Alligator mississippiensis: one gene and its partners. The protein of the gene in region 1 interacts with the protein of each later gene in a pairwise test. Links are inferred from orthologs where the notes say so. Each region holds a gene or a part of one and is shown on either strand. Other genes may lie near its edges.

Evidence for each region.
Region 2: the proteins of CWF19L2 (region 1) and CALCOCO1 interact in binary tests that used the Homo sapiens proteins (3 or more experiments, as listed by UniProt). The two-hybrid records come from large-scale screens. The link is inferred for Alligator mississippiensis from reciprocal best matches to the Homo sapiens genes CWF19L2 and CALCOCO1.
Region 3: the proteins of CWF19L2 (region 1) and TRIM37 interact in binary tests that used the Homo sapiens proteins (3 or more experiments, as listed by UniProt). The two-hybrid records come from large-scale screens. The link is inferred for Alligator mississippiensis from reciprocal best matches to the Homo sapiens genes CWF19L2 and TRIM37.

What each region holds. Positions count from the first base shown.
Region 1 is NC_081824.1:437,555,841-437,563,686, forward strand, and holds the start of CWF19L2 (CWF19-like protein 2), read left to right. Parts: upstream 1-4,802; 5' UTR 4,803-4,851; coding exon 4,852-4,935; intron 4,936-7,846.
Region 2 is NC_081838.1:8,533,575-8,541,378, reverse strand, and holds the start of CALCOCO1 (calcium-binding and coiled-coil domain-containing protein 1), read right to left. Parts: upstream 3,097-7,804; 5' UTR 3,037-3,096; intron 1,662-3,036; 5' UTR 1,652-1,661; coding exon 1,478-1,651; intron 978-1,477; coding exon 875-977; intron 478-874; coding exon 284-477; intron 1-283. UniProt on the Homo sapiens protein: Functions as a coactivator for aryl hydrocarbon and nuclear receptors (NR). Recruited to promoters through its contact with the N-terminal basic helix-loop-helix-Per-Arnt-Sim (PAS) domain of transcription factors or coactivators, such as NCOA2.
Region 3 is NC_081837.1:3,318,829-3,325,859, reverse strand, and holds the start of TRIM37 (E3 ubiquitin-protein ligase TRIM37), read left to right. Parts: upstream 1-3,938; 5' UTR 3,939-4,072; coding exon 4,073-4,093; intron 4,094-7,031. UniProt on the Homo sapiens protein: E3 ubiquitin-protein ligase required to prevent centriole reduplication. Probably acts by ubiquitinating positive regulators of centriole reduplication.

The DNA of each region.
Region 1 (7,846 bases):
CTTGCAAAGAACGTTTCTGCAGCTATTTAGCAGGTCCAATAAAAGATATATCAGAGAGAGAGAGAGACTTACACATAGAGGTTGAATTTTGATTACTGGTATTGCCATGGTACCCCAAAGACCTGTCATGGGCCAGGTTCTCATTGTTTTTAACAATTTCTTCAATAATCAGTGAGAGGAAGTTTGTGCCCCAAGTAATCTAGAATGGTCACATCGCCATATCATTTTCTTATTTGTTCTCTCCACTTTGTTGGGAGATGCTTCTATACAACGAATTGATATGAGTCCTGCAATACCTCCAGTTGGAAGTTATCTTCTATTTGGCTCAAAATGTCTGAAGGGAGTACAGCACTGACTGGAACTACTGCAGGTTCCACAAGTAGACACAACAGCATGGAAAAAGCATGAAGGTAGTTCCTGAGTACCATGGCCAAAGAGGCTGGTAGGTAGGAGACTCAGGATCCGAAGTGTCACTAATGGAGGCAGCCTTCTAAAACTTTCTGTATTTTAATGAAGCTCTATAAAACCTTCCAGATAAAGGCCTGGTTACACATTATGCTGTGAGCCACCCAAATGTTGATTGGTTTAGAGCTTTGGAGCAGTCACACCTTTGGGGAAGATCAGTGGGGAATAGACATGACTTAATGGAACAGGAGCTGGGTGGTGTGGCTCAAGAGATAACCCTGCCCTGCAGTAGTCGCATAACAAGGGCTTTAAGGTTTAAACCACTGAAGGTGTTAATGTGTGGACCATCAAAGGGGCTAGGAGATCCAGGAGCCACCCAAATTTACCGTGTAATAAGGCCCCAACAGGGCTAGTTAAGGCTCCTGGCTCCAGTCAGTTTATCTGAGTTAGAGTTTAGATCAGTGTTAATTTTGTCCCATTTATCTACTGTTTTAGCACAACAAAAAGCTTGTGGCCACATTCAGGCTTTTTGTTCCATAAAAAAACTGATAGATGTACCCCAAAAATGCTGCAGGCAGCTGGAGCTTTTAGGCCGCTGGAAACCAAAGGCTACCAAGGGTCCCTGGTCCCAGTCAGCTGTTGCAATGGAGGCTGCCCTGGGGACAGAGGGAGCTATGGAGCTATGCCATATTGTCCTCTGGCTGAAGAATGTGCCTTTGCGACAATTTTTTCTTGTTCCAGCAAAGGGACTGTGCATGTGTGCCTGCCCACGGCACTGTATTCTTTGTAGTGCTACCAGCTTTGTAACACTACAGAAATGTCTGCCTTAGTCCCAAATGGCCAAGATTATTGCTTATATCTCATCGTGGTATTGGCAGCTACTAAGTGTTACAGGAACCTGCAGATCTTTCAGGTCCAGTGGAGTACAGCAGAAAGGAAGGGGAAGGAAGGGAAAAGGAAAGGCAAAGGCAAGGGAAGGAGAGGAGAGGAGAGGAAAGTTTTGTTGGGGAAGATGATGGGAACTAGGCTAGTAAATATAAGAGAAAAAGAGCTGACCATGAATGGACATTAGAAACCACAAGCCTTTTCTGAGGTAGCAGTAAAAACAGAAATTGCTGTTATTGTACCCACTTGATTCAGGTTTTTTTTCCTGCTCATAAAAAGGAACAACCTGTTCAAAAAACAAAATACTGAAAAATTGTCACTTTATATGCAATATATATGTATGTGTTTCAAAGAGATTTGTCACAAAACATTTATGACAAACATTAGTAAATGTCACTAGAGAATGACATGAAATGAAAACTCTGGGTACAAACAATCCTGAAGTTTGAGGAAAATGGATTTAGTTCCAAACTTTGTCTCTTAGGTGTCTTAACTATAGCTAACAATACCATTTGAGTTCTCAGTAGCTAAGCAAATTAACAAAATACTTATTGCCTAGTGTTAGACAACACATGGTTTGATATTAAATATGGAACAATAGATGGATCTTCATTAGATTTACAGCAGTCTGCTTTTTCATTTTTATTGAAAACTAAACTCTTATTTGCAAGAGGCTTTCTATGTCATCAGTGTTAAACAGTCTGTTTGGTTGCTGAAGTTTGGTGCCAAGGACTCTTTTTGACTAAAAAAAAGTAAAATATGCTATTGAACAACTCAGACCTTCACCCAGCTCAGTGGAGCTGACCGCTCCATTGTCAGATGGTATATTATCATTTTTGTGGCACTTAATTTTATATACACCCACCTTTTCTTTCTTTGAAGGAAACTTAGTAAAACTTTTATTGAAGAAAAATGCCCTTCTCTGTGATTATATCATCTGCTTTTTTCTATAATTTCTCATGAGATTGACTTTTTTACTTTCACCAGCCACAGAAAATTCCTGTCCGAAGCTGAGCTATCATTTTCTCTCAGACACACAAGTAACACACTGACAAAGGGAGTGTATTAAAAATAAACAAATTAAGAACTGAATTAGATTCAGTCCATTTTAGCCTCCATGCACCTAACTCTCTAGCCACCTTGTTGCCTTTGATGTTTCTTTTATGTTATTGTTTCAGAATAGGTTGCTGATTCAGATAAAAAACTCCCACAGCAACATGCAGGATTTACCCAAATGGACTATCAGCTATCATCTGTGGCAAACAAATTTTGTTTTTTCAAAGGGAGAGCATTTTCTTTTTCTGGTGAAACTTTATTCTCTACTTGAAGTAAATGGTACAGAATCAAACTTCCTGGAAACATATATTTTTTTTCTTTTTTTCACAATTCTATGGAACAAAAAAAATCACAAAATGCACTAAAAGAAAGTGGTAGCAGTGAAGGTTATAAGATAACTTACCATGGGAATCACCACTTGACTATGCAGCTCGTTTTAAGAGAACAGAGAGATACTCTTCAAACTGAGATATGGTGCACAAAGGTATCTCCCTGGTGGAGACAAGGTATGGATGCATATAGGTTTTCATTTATTAACTTGTTGTTTTCTGCAAGGAGTTTACAGAGCTAGGGTGGTTTGCTGGTCATCAAGGTAACTTGCAGCAGATCTTAAAAATACTACGCTCTTCTTGTTTTCTTTTTAATGTATAAAAGTAGGAAAGGTTGGAAGCTTTTTTATTTTTGACCTTTCTCTGGTTTTACTGAACATGTCTCAAGAATGCTGACAAGCCAAAATACAGTTGACAGGTTTAATTTTCTATCCGTCTCCCTTGAGAAAATTCCTTTCTCATTTCCTTCCCTTCTTTCAGAATAATCTGAGAGAGAGTTCACGATGTCAGTCTGAAGTCAGGAAGAAAGTTGTTGCAGGTCTGTGGCCTTACAGACCAGTAGTATAACTAGGGAGTGGAACACCTGCCTCAGGTGCTCACTTACAGAGGACACCAGAATACCCCTTTTGAGAGTCTTTGTTACAGCAGCCTGGCCCAGTCCCAGGGCATTTTTACACATGTAAGTGCTGCAGTTGTGACACATGTAGTTGTATTAGCAGTGAAACGTGCATCAGTGCCGAGAAAATGATGGTGACGTGCTTTTGAACTAAAACACATTGGAGATGCTTTAGTTCATAAGCCCACTGCCACCATTTTCTACACGCTGATGTACATTTTGCAACTTACACAACCGCACACAGTGTGGCGCAGCGTGCCTCAGCTCGCGTGCGGAGCAGACTCAATTAATTGAGTCTGCTCCAAAGCGGTGAATGTCCAGCGTATTGTGGGACAAAAAAGTATGTGTATAAATGCCCATAGAAGTCAGGCAGCCCTGAGCTCAGTAGTATACAGGGGCAGGGGTTGAGTGGAATGGTGCTCTCCCAACGCCTCACCCTGCCAGGATTTTTGCCATGGGAAGTGCAGGGCCCAGTTGTGTATGGGGAGTAGAAGCAAATAAGGTGAGGGAGCCCATGCAGCGGGGTTGTTGCTGCTGAACACTGCCTGCTGCCTGTAAACCAAGGCCACATGCTGCGGACTGCTAGAGCAGGAGTCAGTAATATTTTTAGGCAGAACACCAAAAAACGCCCAGAAGCTCAACTTGTACAATGCCGGTGTGCCAGGGGAGTATGGCAGGAGAGCCACAAGGGGCCCAATCCTTGCTGTGGCAGTGCAGCCCTGGCCTTTTCCCCACTGCCCACCCTGAGGCGGGCATGCCTTCCTGTGCCGTGCCCTGGCACCCTGCCCCAGAGCTAGAGCGATAAGGGGAACCATGGCTGGCAGGGGGTGGGGAACGACAACGACACACACGGCTGACAGGGTGACTGCTGGACAGCCCTGGAGCTGTTGCTTATGAAAGTTTATTGATCTCCAATTCATCTGTCCCACGCGACTTGACCCGCCTTCAGAATGCTGATTGCATCTACGGACCCCTCTGAGAAATCCTACGAAATACAAGCTTTCGTTTCCACCCAGCAGAACTTTTACCATCTTTTCTCCAAAGCCGATGAAGGGTGTTTGTGCCCCAAAGCTTGCAAATAAAGGTTTTGTTTGGTTTTTTTTGCAAAAATCTTGTTGCTCTAATAAAAGAGATCACCTCTGCCCACGAGCCCTGATTACCTCTTCCCTTCTGGCACCTGGCAAACCTACATTTTAAGACCTTTACAGGACCCTACACAAATAGCACTGGGAGGGACCTCCCGGGGTCGAGGCAGGATCATCGCTGACCAAAGCACCCAACCCACAGCCAGCGCTCAGCGCTCTCTGTCTAACGTGCTGGGGGAAAATTTCAATATCCACAGCAGGGACTCGAACCCGCGATTCTGACTGCAGCCTTACGAGGCTCTCGAGTCCCAGTAGAACTCGCTCCGGCGTGGTGCGGGACCTGGGTGTCACTTCCGCCCGGCTGCTGGAGGACCTTGACCCCCCCCCTCCCCGCCCGAGCGGCGCCTGTTGCGACACTTTCCCAGCAGTGCCGTATTACAGCCCGGCCTGGCGGTGCTTTCCGGCAGCCCCGGGGATGGCGTCCGGGTTTGAAAGCGAGCGGAGCCTGGCGGCGCGGAGGGAGCAGCGGCGGTGGGATCGCGAGTCGCTGCTGCTGCAGGTGATGCACGCGGGTCCCCCGGCACGGGGCCTGGGGCCGGCGGCCGGACGTGGAGGGCCCTGCCCTGCCTGTCCAAAGCGGGGCGCTGGGCCCTGGCTGCTGTCCCCTCGTCCGCTGGCCTGCGAGGGGCGGACCCGTGGAAGGGGGGTTTATTTTTGTGGGCTGAGACCTCCTAGCTGCGGGCGGCGCCATGTGAAGGGCACGGCCCTCCCTGCCCCAGCCTCTGCGATGGCACAGTGTTCACGCTGGACAGACTTCAATTCCTTGTTTCACCCGCACTGGGGACATGAAAAATGTGCTTTATGAATGACAGCTGAGCCGGGAGGAGTGTGTGATAAGTCTTCGTCTTGGGGAGACGGTTTAACAAGTGGTGCTGCCGGCAGGGCCCTCCTTCCCACGGCTTTCTGGTGTGATCCTTCTTATAGGTTGTGTATACAAATTTTTCAAAGTGCTTTTTTTGTTGTGCATAACCTGCAAGTCTTAGATAATGCTGTATTTTGCTCATGTGTGCAAACACCTTTCCTTTAAAAACAAACAAAATAAAAACCGGTCCTGGAAATCAGGGTGTGCATGATATGTCAGGAAATACAGTAGCAGTAGTTTCTACTGCTTGACCCCTTGTAGGGAGAGGGGAATGGGGAGAAAGTAAGGCTGCATGTTCTGTGCAGGGAACGGTCGCAAGGAGTATGCAGGGCTCCCAGCTGCTCTCTGGTTTGCCCGTTACACCATTCACGGTGTACCCCAGAGCTCCAAGGTTCTCCCTTCCATCTTGCTGCTTGTCCTGAGGAACCAAACAAAGCTTGCTCTGGGATAACTCCTTGTTCCAGCAAACCTCAGCTCCACTGCCCCAGCCTGGACCTCACACCTGCAGCAGCGGAATCTTGGGCAGCCCCACGTGGCCTCCCCTGTGCTTTGTGTAACAACTTTTAGGCCGCCCCTTTCCATAGAATGAGCGAGCCTAAAATATCTCTTGCCCAGAGACTGCTCTCTTCCACAGGCAGAGAGTAAGGTGTGCAAAACAGCAAAAGGCTTTATTATAGTAAGATAGAATTGTACAAGAAAAACTGACTATAGGCCTGGAGATGGAACAAAAAGACCAGTAAAGAGATTCTTGCTGTGTTATCTGGTTATATGCTAGTCTTCCTGAGACTACTGCTAGTGTTTTTAGGGATCAGCCTCCCTGCTGATACTACCAGCCGTGACTGCTGGGGTCCTGGACTCCTCTCCAGCCTGGAAAAAATCCAAAGACCTTGGCTACCTTATAAACACCCTTGCCCACTGCCCTCCTGTTCCCATCAGCATGGTCTCAGTTTTTCTTGGGTCTCCAGAATCCTCCAGAAACTTCTCTTTCAGGGACATCTGACTTTCCTCTGGGTGATGGGTGTTTTCTCACAGATGCCTTTGCTAGAGAGGAGAAGATTTCCCCATTACAGGCAGGCAGTTCCTTGAGTTCCCAACCCAATGATGTCTCCAGCCTGTCTGGGATTCCTTAAGTATGCACCCCTCCGTTCTTTGAGATGTCCAGAAACACAAAGATGTATACAGACATCATAACACCATCTATACAGTAAGAAAAGTGACATAAGTAGATATAGCATAACATGGCCTTCCCAGTGAAACCTCACATTCTGTATCAGTGAAATAAATATAAGAAAACATTCACAACTCCTTACAAACTCCCCAGACCACCGTGGGGGTTTGTGCCATTCTGTTTACTTTGGTGGTTCTCAACCAGAGAGCTACTACCACCACAGCCAAGTGCAGTTATCCTATGTACCTCGTGTAGACCCAGACCAGGCAGGGATGTGGCAAAAGCATGCACTCCTGGATGCATTTCAATTATCTTATGAGCCTAAAACAGATAGAAATGCTCTTGCCACAGCCCTCCCTATTCTCCACCTGCCCCCCTTGATCTCTTTTGGAAACAGAGGTACACAGGACAGTTCCATCTGTCCACTGTGCCTCTGTTTCCAGGAGATACAGTCTGGGGTTGGACTGGAAAGAGCTGTGACAGGAGCAGGCTCATCTGTCTCCTTGAGGCTAATCAGATAACGTTGATGTAGGCAGGAGTGCAGCTTGTTTTGAAGCCCTTCCTGATTTGGCTGTGCACAAGGTTTGTGGGGCAGTTCTGTCTGGCCATTGTGGGAACACTTGCACCACAGCATCCTTGAAAGGGTCTCGTGGCACTATTGCCCTAAGAACCAGGGGGCATCTGGTTCTTCTCTCAAATGGAGAGAGAGCAAACAGTAGGATAGATATTGCCTTAAAGTGTGCTTCAGTTTTCTCCAAATGAAAACCTATATGTTCCCTCCAACCAAGGACCCAGTTATCTATTTATTTTTCTCCAAATTAGAACCCATTTATTTTCTTAATAAATTCGTTTTATTGAGCCTTACAAGTTATTAACTACAAGCATGCATATAGATATAATCTTAGCAGTTTCAGTAATATTAACAAGATACAATCTTAGCAAGCAAGTAATTATATATTACTAGTCCTAATACACACATCCAGTGCTGGCCAGGTGTCTCAAAGTGGGCTCTGGTTCCTTGAAGGGAGATCAGATGTCTTCAGTTTTTAGGCATTGTTAGGGTGAGGTGAAGGGAAAGGGTAGGAGAGGAGGAGAAGGAAAAAGGGGAGGAGAGAGAGGGGAAGGGAAAGGGGGGTAATATTTATAGTCCTTTGGTCTCATAGCTACCAGTTAGGCCAGTTTCCTGTTTTTCTTCAACAACTTGGGGTTTGTCTTCACTTTATCATTGTTTTTCCCCTTCTTCCTGGTACCAGGAGCCATTTCCTTCAGATGTAGCTGGAGTGTGCCATAACAAACCCTTTTATCCATCACAAAAACTTTTATCAGCAGACTCTTGCAGAAAAACAAGCTGCATCAGACCCTTTTATAGAAACAGAGAGC
Region 2 (7,804 bases), on another chromosome or scaffold:
GGGGTATAAGAGCCAGGAACAAGCCTGCACCCGGAGCTACCACGTCCATGCCAATAGGCAAAGGGTGGGCATTAACTGGGTTCTGTCGTGCCTCAGTTTCCCCTCCCAGCTAGAGGGAAACAAATTTGCCCTCTTATCCCTCCCTTCTAGTGGAGCCTGGTAGGGGGATTGCTGGGGGGGAGGCAAGCTTGGGGAGGGAGGGGCTAGCTCTAGGCTCCACCCCTTCCCTGGGTATAAAAGCGGAGGGGCCAGGCGACGAGGAGCCCGTGTCCCGCATGCCCACCTGCAGCAGGGTGGCCTTGGGCACCACCAGCAGCATGTCCATGTTGCCGTCCTCATCCCCCTCCAGCGTCACCAGCTCATCCATGGGCCGGGGCTCGCTGAACTGGAAGGGGCTGCTGCGTCCCCGCTCCTCCCCACGCCGGTCCACATAGCGGTACTGGTACTGCTGGGCCCCTGGTGGGGGCAGGTAGTTGGCTGCGGGGGGGGGACAGGGTCAGTTAGTGGGGGTACCCTGAGCCCTGACTGCGGCTGCGTGGGTACCCGGGGTGTCAGGGGGTGACGATGCCCCCTCCTTCCCTTCTGCTCATCTCACACCCCGATTCTGGGGTCTTACAGGACCCTGTCTGGGAGCTTCCCCTCAACCAGGAAGCACCAAGCTGAAACACCCACCCCAAATCCCCCCCCTCCAGGGGATGCAGATGACCCCCCCCCCCCCACAGCATCCCCTGTAGGGTGGTCCTGGGAGTGCTGCCACGCAAGAAGGCCTAGATCTGGGGAGGGGGAGAGGAAGACCCCCGCTTGGGGGGGGGGGTGTTGATGAGATCAGAGAGCACCAGGCCCCACTTTGGTCTCCCTACCAGGCACCACGTACCTTGGAACTGGACGCTGGAGTGCAGGGGCACCCCCGTGGGTCCCCCCTCAGGCACCGGGCACCACACGAAGGTGTAGTAATCTTTCACGGACGCCGCTTCCACCTGCATGGACAGACACACAGACCAGGGCAGGGCTGTGGCTCAGCCGCCCACTTCGGCCAGGGTGGGGAAACCGAGGCACAAAGCAGCCAAGGGGCAGAGCTGGTGAAAGAACCCAGGAGTCCTGCTTTCCCCCCCCACTCCAACAGCTGGATCCCAATCCCCTCCTGGAGGACACTGCAGGACCCAGGCTTCTTGCTGGCTAGCCCCCACCCAATTTTCAAAGCTGGCAAAAAACCCAGCTGTCCAGCTACCAAGTGCCCCCCCATGTCCCCAGCCTTGCAGCTTCCTGAAATATTGTCCCCAGGGTCCTTGGAAGTGGGGTGGGGAACAGGAAACCTGCGTTCTTTTCCTGGAGCTGTAGCCCCCATTAGAAAGCCCCAGGTCTGTGCCCCAGTTTCCGAGGCTGGGGGGTGGTTTGGAGACTTTGGGGAGAGGTGATAGTGCTCGACACATGGGGAAACTAAGGCATGGAGGTCACCCACTCCTCCTGCCCCCCATACCTTGAAGATGCCGATCCAGTCCCTGGCGGAGGGCTTGGTGCCGGGCGGCAGGGTGTAGTGGCACTCCACCTTGGTGCCGGGCACGTAGGAGTGTGCCACGTTGAGGAAGGCTACAGGGACGGGGCTGGGGCCGCGGGGTAGGGCCCCCGGCTTGCTGGGCGATGCCTCTGCCATCCTTGACCTGCTAGACAGGTGGTGGGAGGGGGTGAGCAGGGTCCTGATAGCCCCTTGCTGAACCCAGGTGTCCTGGCAGGGCAGGTCCCCCTTCCCCAGAGCCCGGCTCCTCCCCTGTGGGCACCGGGGCGGGGGGTGTCTTTCTCCAGCAGTTGAGCTCTGGGCCGGGGAGGCCACATGGCTAAGCTGGGACACCTAGGTTCTGCATGCCTCCCAGCTAGAGGAAATCAAATCAGCGAGGCACAGGGTACTCAGATGCCTGCCCCTTGCCAGGGGTCACCTCCTAGGAAGGGCAAGGAGGCTGGTCCCGGGGGGTCTGGGCAGCTTGGAGGAGACCCCAGGTGCTACAGCAGTGATTCTCAACTGAGGGGATAGCACCCTAGTGGCCTTTCTGGCACCTGCTGCTGCCCCCACCCATGCCATCTGCCCCCAATGCTCCTCCAGGGAGTGCTGCCAGGTTTGTCCCCCCTGCTCCCAGGGCTGAGGCACATGAAATCGTGCAAGATCAGTCACACACACTATGGACCAGGGGTGGGGAAGCAGACAGTAGAAAGAGCAGGGCATGGTAGGCTGAGGCCTGCCCTCTTCCCTGGCACTTGGCTCCCCTCAGGTGGGCACAGTCTCCCATTCAGGCACAGACCAGGGCAGATGCTGCTTAGCTTCCAAGCCATGTCAGGCCAGCTGGGTGGCATGCCACAGAGACACAGGGCCTACCCCCACTGCAGCTGACATTGTGGGGTGGACAGGCCCCACCAGCCAGCTCCGTGCCTCAGTTTTCCCTTCTGTGAAATGGGTGTGAGTTGCAAACAGCAGACAGATGGGGGCGGGATGGCCCTGTGCCTGAGCAGTGCCTAGTGCTCAGAGGCCGGGGAAGGAACTGTGGTGGCTTGTGGGCGTGGGGTGCGGCCACCCGACACCCGCTGGCAGTGACAGGCCGACCACCTGGCCGCGTCCCGGAGCCGCCCCTTTTTTCTGGGGTTGCACAAGGCAGGCTGATGCAAGGCCCGATCCCGACAGGGCAGGAAGCAGCTGCCTACTCCCTTGCCCAGAAACGCCCCCACCTCCACCAGCACCTGGGTTGGGGGCGGGGGGAGGAGCAAAACCCAGGGTGGGGGGGCAGGAGCACGTGCTGTGCTTACAGGGGCTGCCCCTGCCCTCCCTGGGAGTCAGGCCAGGGGGGTGAGGCTGCCTTGCGGGGGTATTAAGAGGGTGGGGGGGGGCACGTACCCCCCTGGGATGCCCCCCCTCCCCAGCTGGCAGGCCTTGCAGGAGGGATCCAGGGCACATCCCCCTCCCTCCTCCAGGGTGCACCCCGCGGGGCAGCTGAGCCCAGATCTGCCCCCCCGGTGCCCCCCGCCCCGGGCAGGGGCGAGCAAGGCTCTTACCGCGGAGCAATCAGCTGGGCTCCAACAACAACAGCAGGCTGGGGCCGGCAGGGGGCGGGGCGGCGCGGGGCATGCTGGGACTTGTAGTCCGGTCCAGCCTGGCTGCTGGGCCAGCGGCGGCGCCAGGGACTGCAAATCCCAGCGAGACCCAGGAGGGGGAGGGGGGGAGGAATGCAAATCCCAGCATGCACCGCGGGGGAGGAGCAAGGGGGGTTGCAAATGCCCCCATGGCCGGGGCTGGGGGTGGGGAATAGAGGGCTGGAGTGCCCTGCCGAGGTTTTTGTCTCCATTTGCAGGCTTGCTTGTGCTCCCCTCCTCCAGGTCCTGGGCTCTCAGTCCCATGACTCCTGGTGCTGGGGCTTGAGGCCGATGCAGGGCACCAGGCTGCAGCCTTGCCTTGCTAGGCAAATGCCAGGGGTTGGAGCTCCCCCTGCTAGCCCACCCACCTCCGACTACTCTTATCCCGGCTCCCGCTGGTGACCCGTCCATGGGATTGCGGGATGGATCTTGCTCCTTAAGACGCCCCTGGCTCTGCAAAGGTGCCTGGTGCTTGAAATGCCAATAGCGGACAAGGCAGAGCGGGGCTCATTGGCCGTGCTTATCCCAGGGCAGCCCCCAGTATGGATGCACTTACCCCAGGGTAAAGGCACTGTGCCCGGGCACCGTTGGCAGAGGCATCAGGTCCTGCCTATTTGCTCAGCGAGCTCCCAGCCCTGCCAGTGTGTCCCTGGGCTGGGGGACCTGACCTGGAGGGGGGGCTGTGCTCTTGCAAGGGGCCTGAGAAGCCTCAGTGGGGAGGGAGCCGGAGCCGGGATCCAGGCCTGAGTGGTGATGTGTTAGTGGATGTTGTGGATGTTAGTGTCCATCTGCCCACCCATGTGCCCACCTGTCCATCTATCCGTCCGTCCGCCCGCCCATCCTCCTGTTTGTTAGTCCGTCAGTCCATCCATCCATTGGTTCATCTATCCCCTTAGACCCCCATGTTGATCTATTGATTGATCTCTCTATCCACACACAACTCCCCATCCATTCATCTCCCTCCTTCCTTCCTCTCTTTCCTACCAGGGCTCTCATTTCTGGATGGCTCTTGCTCCCAGCGTCTTTGGTGCCCCCACCTACCCCGGTCCAGGCTGGCTATGGGTGGAGGGAAGATACCCTGCCAAGAGCTCAGTATATCCAGGAAGCAGGGACCCTGAGCCTGCTGCGAGGGCAGAGCCAGCCGGACATGGGGCTGGGGGGCAGGGATGTGGGCACAGTGGCTGGGCTGTTCTCTGGCTGCTTTAGGGAGATCCCTGGGCCCCTGTGTCTGTCCCTGGCTCCATCCATCCATCCTGTCTCATCTCCCTGCAGGGTCTCAGCCCCTGACCCAGCTTCTTAGGCCGTAACCTGCTTCCACCCTGGCCTGGAGCCCCTCATGCCATCTCCAGCCCCCCGTCGCCCTCCCTGCCTTGCTTGCCCACATGCCAGCAGCTACCCCCTCCTGCCTAGGCAGCAAGAGACAGGGATGGAGACAAATGGGCTGGCATGGTGCCCTGCCTCCTGCTGGGACCCCGGGAAGCGCTTGGCAAAGAGGGTTAATGGCTGCTCTGTCTGTTCTCATCCCCGGCGAGGGGAGCCGACTAAGCAGCTATGATGGGCTGGGGGGGGGAGGGGGCTGCTCTGGCGAACTGTAATTAACAGCCAATCGTTCATTAGAGAGAGAGAGAGATGAAATATGGCCCTGGCTGGGCCCAGCAGCAATGCAAGGGAGGGAGGGAGGGAGGGAGGGAGAAAAAGAGAGATACAAGGGTACAAAGGGAAAGGAGGATGGAGGGATGGAGTCTGGGGCTAGAATGAAAGAGGGGATTGATGGATGGATGGATGCATGTAGAGTTGGAGAGAAAGGGGGCATGGGGATGGATGGATGCATGGACAGATGGATGGATGGACGGATGGATGTGTGTAGGGTTGGAGAGAAAGGGGGCATGGGGATGAATGGACAGGTGGATCCATCTGTCCATCCAGTCATCGATGGATGTGTGTGGGGCTGGAGAGAAAGGGGGTCTGGGGATGGACGGATGGATGTGTGGGGCTGGAGAGAAAGAGATGGAATGGCAGAGGGGGAGAAAGGAGTGGACAGACAGATGGAAACAGCGCTGTGGGGCTGAATGGGTGGCATTTGGGGGCATTTTCACTGGAAACAGCCATGCTCCATGGCAGTTGCCTGCACGATTTTGAGGTGATGACTTTTATCTTCAGACAAACCAGATCCTTTCAGCCTCACTCTGCCAGCCCCCTCCAAAGGCCCCTGCACCAGCACCCCCTGCCATGACCCCATCCCCTGCTCTGAGATCAGCTCCCTTCTTTGAGAGCCACATCTTGCTTCCAAGAATGGCTTAAATACTAGGGAAAATAATGAGGAGACGGGGTTCAAGGCCGCATGGGATAAGGACCAGGACTGTTCCAAGCAGAGCTTATGTCCTTGTGTTGTTATTTGGGGTTCAGATATTGGGGGGGGCAGACTTAAAATGAGTCAGGAAATGTGGGGGTGTCTTTTAGTCAAGGTAATACGGCAAATACAAGCTGCTCCCTGGTCTTCTCACTGCTGGTTTTGATCTTCCTCCGGGCTCTTCTCTGGACCCTCCAATCTCCTCCCACCCTGAGTTGCCAACACCGTGTCCCAGCGCTGTCAACTCCTGAGATCAGCTCTCCCCTGCTTGCTGTTTCCCTGTATCTCCCCCCATGGCTCATGCAACCCAGTCTGGGGTGAAAAGGGGGCAGGCAGTGGAGTGATCAATAAGTCCTGGTCCCCCACACACACTAGACAGGGCTAGGAGGCTGTAGCAGGGGGACAGCTAGCTTACAACCCATGCTGCATGGTGCAGCAGTGGGATCTGAACCCCTATCACCATACAGACACCAGACACCCTGAGAAAGGCCAGATCCTTGCCCAGAGCCTGATTCACCATCACTCACTCAGCCCTAGGGGTATTATTAGGACTCCCCTGCAATGCATCTCCTAGGGTCAGGGGCTCTCAGAGACCCTCAGTCTCACCTACGGGGAAGTTTCCTCGAAGGCTTGCCTGGGGTTTTCCACCCTAAAAAAGACATGAGGCTTGTTTGGCTAGAAAGTACCTGCAGAAAGTCCTTTTTAAGACCTGGCACAGTCTGGAGTCAGCAAGATTCTTACTAGCCTGGAGGGGGGTGTGTGAATGTGTGTGTACGTGCGTGTGTACGCGTGTGTGGGCTCAGAGCACCATTAGATCCACATAAAACGCTCCCTGCCCACCCCCCACCCCCAGTGCTGCATTTCACAGGGAGATCTGGGCTCCTTAAGCCCCCGCCTGGCTCTTGTTAGCAATGCCTGGCTCTGGCATTTCAGGTGTTGTATCAAGATCTACCCCCTGCCCTGCACCAGCTTGCCTTGCCCCTTCTCCCCCCACCCACACAGACCCAAGCCAGCACCTTTGCCCACCCAAGGCTGAGGCTGGAGCCCAGGGTGCAAATTGGCTCCTTCAAGCCTGTTGGCTGAAGCTTTAAGGGGAGTTTTCCCCTTTGAACCTTCTTTATTTAATGTTATTTATTAGCAACTTCTAGGCTGGGTGTGGGGCCAGGCTGGCCTAGCAGCGCCTGCCTGCTCGTGGAAGCTAAGCAGGGCTTGGCCTGGCTTGGGCTTGGATGGGAGACCCCATAGTGCAGATGGGGCATTACTGGCTGGGACTGGTTGTGGGCTTATACTGGCACCTGGGGGTGGGGGACAGGGCCACACATGTGCAGAGCTCTGGCAGGTCTCAGCCTTCCCCCTCCCTGAGTGCTGGCTGTGCCTCAGTTTCCCCACGGCCCCTCCCTTGGCCGGGGCACAAAGAGGCGGGATTTACGAGCATCTCTCAGACACTCATAACGAAGCAAATTCAATTTGACGCTGCCCCGGCCGGTCAATACAGGAGATAAACGAGCCGGCGGGCCCCGGCGGCTCAATGGCAAAATCGATGGCACTCTATTGTGCGCCTCAGCTGCGTGGGCTCGATCCTGCCCCCTGCCCTGGAGCTGGGGTAGGAGCAGGGGACCTGCCAGGACCAGGGGTTCCCCACCCCACAGGGCCTGCTGGGGTTCATGTCCTAGGAAACTGGGAGGCACTGGGGGCTGTGGCAGTTTCAGCACCCCACAAACTCCACTCAACCCAGTGCCATAGACTCCCTACCCCAGTCCCTGGGAGAGTCTCTGCCAGTTCTGGGTGGTGGGGAGGAGAGGACTTTTGGGGATGTCTAATGACCATGGTAACCTTAACAGTGGCGTGTCTCCAGGAGCCCCCAAGCCCATGGCAACACCCCACAAGTGGACCCATCCCTGCAGACCCCAGTGCCAGCTCTGTGAGCCCCCCGCTCGCTTCTGGGAGTGTCCGTCTGTCCGTCCGTCTGCAGCGCACCAGGCAGGGCTGTTCGCTGGCTCTGGTGCGGGTCTGGTCCTGGCAGCTGGGCCGAGCAGACGGTGTCGAGCTGGCCCGGCGTGGCCAGCCCTGGGCCATGCCAGCCGGGGATGGTGCCACCGGCCTGGCCTGGCAGCGGTGCCTCGCGCCTGGCCTTGCCAGGGCCCCAGAGCTGGCAGGTGCTGGGTCCCAGCTCTCCGATGAGGTGGGCAGCCCTGAGCCCCAGCTCCATCTGGCCTGCAGTGGCTGCCAGCGCTGCTGTTTCTGTCCTCCCCACCCTACCCAGCTAGAGGCCCTGGGGAAATGCGGTCCATTGAGCCCACAGCACAGAGCCACGAGCTGCAGTGAGGGGCGCCGGTGTCT
Region 3 (7,031 bases), on another chromosome or scaffold:
AGTGGGATATAACCGCAATACTGCAGCTTCTTTATATTATTATATAAAGGTATAAACACTACACAGGTTGAAAAACTTTTACTCTTGGTTGTATCAATGATTTTCTATTCTAGTCAGGTTTCTCTGCTCTCCTTGTATTTTGCAGTGAAGATTAAATTGCTTCTGACACTGGGATGAATGATAAAAGTGAATGACGATGGGCAACAACTGTGGCTGAACTGGTGCTAAATATGATTTAACTGCAAGTGTAGTTAAAGATAAACCATCTTCAAGACCATTTCAGAAACAGGCTAAAGCGTTAGTCTGTCCTTGCAGCTAAACTATGTTTAGCACCTTTTGCTGAAATCCATTGTCGGCAAGGGATAAGTTTGCTGCCGTAGATGAGGCTTGGGAAAACACAGAACCCAAAGACCTGAGGCTTAGTAACGGGTAATTTCTGAGCATGCAAGAAATATTGATGTTGCATATGTGATGTATAAATCTTGCTAAATTCTATAGTATAAAAAAAAGTCCCCAAATCCTTGCCTTTGAGGAAGATTCCCTTTCTAGCCTCAAATGTTACGAGCAACTTGGTCTAATACATTCAGACAAGAAGAGCTGAATCTTATGAGTGCTTGTGGTACTGTCAGCCTATGTTCTTTTCTCCACTTTGCTTGATTCTAGGAACAGGTTCAGCAAACAGTTTTTGTGGAGACAACTCTCTAATTATTTTCAGAGTGGGGAAAAAAATCTTATGTTTTAAATTATACTTTGTGGGTTTTTTTTGCTGGAGCACTCTGGTATTACTCTAGAGCTGCTATTTCAATAACTTAACAACCTAGGTTTGCTCACTCTGCTGGGATGAGGGGCAAGTAGTTATTAGGTAAGGGTACTGGTTTGTTTTCCCTCTGGGAAATGGGAAAGGTATGGGCCTGCTTTACACCTGCAGAACAGCAACTTATCAAAGGCCTTGCCAATGTAGCTTTTGCCAGTTTCCCAAACTAAGTTGTCTAAGCAAAGGAACTGTAGTTGTCTCCATTATGATGGCTTCTTAATATAACTACACTGGCAAACACTGTGTAGATGCAGCCTTCTATGGGTTTCTCTTCTGAGTTATGACCTTCTTGGTTCCCCCCACAGATGTTCACACTACTAACTGCCAATTATCTAGAAAGTCTTTTAAAGTATATGCTATGCACCCCTTCTGTAGTGATTTTAGAAATAGGTTGGCCTCTATCCATATACCTCAAGTAGCTGAATCCAGCAAAATGGCCTAGAGAAGGTCTAGAAGTGGAAGTAAAACTTAAACCTTCGAGTTAGGGGAGAAAAAAGAAATATAGAGGTGCATGTGGCTTCTGTAACAGCTGCAGGAAACTGCCTTTAAACTGCTTTAGGTGTTAGCGATGTCATCAACTGTAGCATGAGCAGCAGAGAATCCCGAGTTGCCATCTCTCTGGCAGGTAGGTGGAGGGAAGTGCTTTTCAAATGTGTGCCATAAATTTTAGTATTACCAACCCCAGGCATTAACCATGTGAGGACTCCCAAGAACAGAGAGATCACTTTAATAAGACAATTCAAATCATGCTATTTTTAACCTTGTATGGTTTAGGATAGTGGTATCTGGCTGGTGGGCTGGATCTGGCCATGTAGCTAGAACAGGAGCAGACAAAATATATGGCCCACGGGCACTTACCAATGCATTGTACCCCACCCAGCCTGCAAGCTTTGCTCCCACCCTCATGTGCAGGACAGCCCCAGCCAGCAAGCCCACTTCTGGGTGGGACCACTGCTGCAGCTGCCCCAGGACCTGCTCGGCTTCCCTGGCCTCAGTGGGCTCCTCCTCGTCTCCCTACTGCAGTGCTTGCTCCGGGCAGCAGGTAGGGAAGCTGCAGCTGGGTGGAGCATGGGGCTGGTGGGAGCAGAGAGCCCAGGGCTTGTGCTCAGTGGGATGCTGGAAGCGCAGAGCTTGGGTGGGCAGTATGTGGGGTGTGATGGGGTGGTGTGGGGACCCTCCCATGTCCTCCCCCATGGCGCACAGCCCCTGCCAGCAGTGCCTGGCTCCCACCAGTTCCAGGAGTTGCATGTGGCAGCAAGGAGGAGAGCCAGGCTGGCCCACCTCTATCACATGCAGCTCCCAGGACTTGTGTCACTGTGGGGGGAAACTGCTACAGTTTGGGCCAGGCCCAACCCGCATTGCCCGTGCAACAGTAGCCTGCCCTGGCTCCACTGTGCCTGAAAATCTAGCAGTGGTGGAGGGGTATTAGGGTTAATTTCCACCACTCCCCCTTCCAGATTTCTAGACCTGTGCAGAGCCCAATGGGCTAGATCCCTTGACTCCATGAGCTGGATTTGGCCCACAGGTCAGAAGCTAAACACGCCTTTTGCAGAAGCTTTTTCTGTAACCTTGAGAGCTAGATGATTGCCCTTTCAAATTTGAATGCAATCTGATGTCCTCAGCTACTATCCTGGCTCTATAACTCAAAGGTTTTAGTTAAAACACCTAGGCCCCTGGTATACCATTAACTGGCTAATCATAGGATTAAATTTATCCTGTGATTAGCCAATTAATCTGGCCACCCCTGCAAAGTAATTATCACATGATAAAAGTGACTCTCCAGCTACAAAAAAAGCCAACCAGCTGTAACATCAGTGCTTGAAAAATATGCAACAACTTTAGAGATGACTTCTAGCCAGCTTTCATTTGAATGTGTAGCAGGGCCCTTAAGTCCCTACTATACTTGCATACTTTACACAATTAACTGATTATTCCCCAGATAAATGTAGATGCCACAGGTGCAATGTAATTATCACAATTAATGGGCTAATTGAGTAATAAATGTAGACCAGCCACCCTTGCAAAGTAATTGTCACAGGGTAAAAATGACTCTCTAGCTACAAAAAGAGCCAACCAGCTTTACAGTCAGTGCTTGAAAAAACATGGTTGCAGACAGAAGTACAGGTCCCTGCTGTAACTAAAAACGCTTTGCAGGAAGGGTTGGGGTTTGCAATCATCCCTGGAAACACAGATGTTCACAGCTGGTTCCAGCAGGGAGGGGAATCCAGCTGTTAGCTGCCCCTTGCAGTCAGCTTTCCCCAGCAATGGCCCCTCTCTCAGCCTGTCCCTGCTCTCAGGGCAGGAAGGAAGGAGGGAGACGGAGCTCCTTCTAGTGCAGCGTTTCTCAACCTGAGGGTCGCAACCCAAAAGCTGGTCACAAGAAAGTATGAAAGGGTCACGAAAAAACTTTAGAAATGGCTCATTGAGCTTTTAAAGCAGAAAAACATGGGGAAACCGTGGCTTTTCCCTTGCAGCCTGGCAGTCCCCTGCCCCACACACCTCACCATGCCCCACGTACCCACCGCTGCCCCACACGCATGGGCCAGCTGGTGGGGAGCGAGGGGTGCTGGCCGTGGATGTTTATAAATGGGTCCCGATACAAAAAAAGGTGGAGACCCGCGGGTCTAGGGGTTCCTCAAGTGGCTCTAGTGGGGAATTGGAGCAGGGCTGAAACCCCTCCCTTCCCCCTTCTGCAACCAGAGGCGGGCAGGCGGCGCAGACAGAAGTGACAGTAGACCCATCAACCTTTTGCAAGGTCACGTTGTCACCCCATGGGCCAGTTTTGAAGCTGGCTGCAGCCCTTCACTTCTCGGAGGAGGGTGGGAAGGGACCTCAGGGGATCACATCCGGTCCAGCCCCCTGCTCCAACTGCATCATCCCACCCAAGCCTTTTTTATGTCTTCAACACCTCCAAGGACGGGCACGTCTCTGGGCAGCCCTGCTGCGGCTCTCCACCACCCTCCTCGCCAGCAACGTCCCCCAACACGCAGCCTTGCTGCAGCTTGTGAATCCCCCTCCCCTTCCCCTGCAGACAGCAGCCAGGGTGGGAACCTCCCGTAGCGCATGCGCGTGGCGAGGGGGCGGGAAGCTTGAGACGGGACGCATGCGCGTTGCGAGGGGGCGGGAGGACTGGGGCGGGGCGCGCGGACATGGCCGGGCCGTGGAGGAAGCCGGGCCGTTGAGCAGCAACGCCTGCCCTCACCTCACCTCATCTCACCCTCCTTCCCTCTCTCTCCCTCTCCCCGCAGGGCCGCCGTCATGGACGAGCAGAGCGTGGAGGTGAGCGCGGGGCCCGGGGCGCTCCCTCAGGGAGCCGGCGGCCGCCATGTTGGGGGTCCTGTCAGAAACACCCGTGGGGGAGGGGCGGGGCCAGGCACCTGCAGGTGCCCCGGGGGCAAGGGGCGCTGAGAGGCCCCCGGGCCAGCGCGGGCGTTTGTGCAGCGCAGGCCTGGAAACGGCGTTTCGTTTCACGCGGGCGCTTACACACGTGCCTTTCGTCCCGAGCCGCGCTGGGGGTCCGGGCGGGTGGGAGCAAAGGGGCGCGAGCGGTGAGGCGCGCGCAGGAAACGGCAGCGGGGCGCTTTCGAACCGAAACGTCTGCGCTGCGGCTTAGTTCGGGAGCACACCGCCGCTTTCTGGGCGCCGAGCGGGGCGGCCGTCGGAGAGGACAGTCCAGTTGCCCTCCGCCCGTCGTCGGCGCTAAACCGGACACCTTGACGTCCGCCGCTTTTCTCTTTGAAGACAAAAATGCGTCCGGTTTCTTACGGACGGAGGAGCAGAAAACTGGACTGTCGTCTGCGACGGCGCCCGCAGGGTCCCCAGCTCCATTTGAATCGCTCCCAGGAGGTTTCGTCCCACGACGTAACAACACGAATTACGGCGCGTCGGGAAGGCAAATGCACATTTTAAACCCTCCCTGGTAGGTGGCCACCGTAGAGGACGGTCCGGGCGTCCTGTGGTGATACGAAACCGGACGCCTTTATGCCCTCTGTTTTTCTCTCGAAGACGAAAATACGTTCTCTGTCTTGAAGAGAGAGCTAGAGGACACAAAGGTGTCAGGTTTTGTATCGACAGAGGAGCAGGAAACGGGGATGTCCTCTGCGATGGCCACCCTAGCGCTGACGCACGTCACCGCTTGTACGACCGTGTGCGTCGCAGCGCCGGGCGCTGTCGGAAGCACCTGGCGCTGCAGCACAGCCACGTGTACAAATGCCCATAGGCTCGGCTCTATTTAGGAAAAAGAAACGCCCGCTCTTGCGTTTAATCAGGGTTGGAGTTACACTTTGACTCTTGGGGATGGGGTCTGCAAAAAAAATAAAAATTAAACCAGCTCATTGATTAAGAAGGTCACGTAAGTGAAGGAGCAAGCTGATCAGAGGACCCCCCCTTCCAGGTTATGATTTTCAAATCTTGGGGGCTCTGGTCTCTCATGGGGGGCTGGCTTAGCCCCCTCCCAACTCCCCCTTAATTCACACCCTGCTTTTAATGCTCGTTGGTTGGAAAAGCCAGCGTTGTTCAGAGCAGGGAGGCCCAAATGGTTTGAACTATGGAAGAATAGACGTAAAGAGAGAATGAAAAGGCTAGGACATTCTGCTGTAGACAGGAGGTGAGTAAATAAGGGCTTGTCTACATGGGGAACTTGAGCGGCATAACTAAGGAAATGACGCTGGGATAGGTGTTGCAGAACAGCGATTCTCATGCACTCAGGCTGGGCAGTTTACCTCCCCAGTAGACGGGCCTAAGACAGGACACGATGAAAGTAATTCAGGAAAATAAGGTAATGTGTAAGTGTACACGTCTCATATTACATGGTAGGTAGTTATCCCCTAGTGTTTATTGTCACAAGATTTCTTAGAGCACCAGTACTTAGGTTTAAAAAAAATCAGATGTTTATGGAACAAGAGTTTTATATTCATTTTTAGAAGGGATATATAAGCCCTCGTGCTTTAGAGCAGAGGCTGGTTGCTGACCTATGGTGTTTAGCCTTTACTTTTTTGCTGTCTTGCATTTTCATCTGATACTGGCCGCTTTTAAAAGAGAGGATATGGAGCTAGATGGATCACTGGTTTGATTAGGTTTGGCAAATGCCATTGTTCCTCTCCCTTCAAAAAGTCCTAAACGTTTTATGAAATAAAAGGACTGTAGAATGGGGTAAATTGGAAATATTTTTGTGCCCCTCCTCATGTGCCTTTATATAAATAACTTTATATCTACCAACCTCTTTTTTTTTTTCATGAATATGCATTGTAGATCAGGTATCTCTTTTTCCAGAGGTGGCTAGTGATTGACATGGGAAACAAAAGATTTCCTTTGCAAGAATAGCATTCTGCAGCATTTGCAGTCTTCAAAAGTAGGGCAAATCTGCAACCTGCCGTAGGTCTAGTGATTTATTTAGCTTAGTGTTAATTGTAGTGGTTGAGACAAGGATTTTCTTTGATTGTTTTATGTCATGTTGCTGTAGCTGAAGTTTTGTCATTCAAGCTAAGCTGGAGCAAACAATAAACTAGTCTTTTACAGTCAGGTTCTCACACTTTGGCAGAGTGTTGTAAAGCTTGGATCTCAAACCATGGAGGAGCATTGTAAAGGACATTTGTTGTCAGTAGATGTGTATATATACTAAAAACCTTCATGATATTTCTGTTGGCCTGAGGTTTCACAAATATCAGTTTGGGATCCTAGCAGTGTTATTGTTCCTTCAGAAACAGAGACCAAGATTTCAGCCTGTACAAAATATTTCTGTTTCTTTACTTATTTTCACAAAATCTTGACTTGCTCTAGATCCAGCTTATTAGCAGATCATGACTTTATTCTCCAAGCTGAGCAAGGTGGAAGAAGTAAAGAAATTGCTGGGAGAGTAGGTGGTAAATGTGGACTTCAGACTTGAAAGAATAATGTAAGAAAGGGAGCATACAGTCTGTAAATTATTTTTAGTTCGGTACCTTCCCATTAACATGCTATAAAGTTATAAATATATTTACATACATATTTTCTTAAACAAGGCTTACTGCCAGTGAGGTAAAATTTGTAGGTGTGGAAATCTCTGTGAATAGTACCTCTTCACTTGGCAACTGCTTGATATCGTATAGATACAAGTGCAGCTATATGATAGCTCACTTGTACAATGTCTCATCCTTGCTAAAGCAGATAAATGGAAAAATAAAGGGATAAACCAAAGCAAAGTAAATGCTGCCTGGGGAAATAGGCTTTAAAATGGACA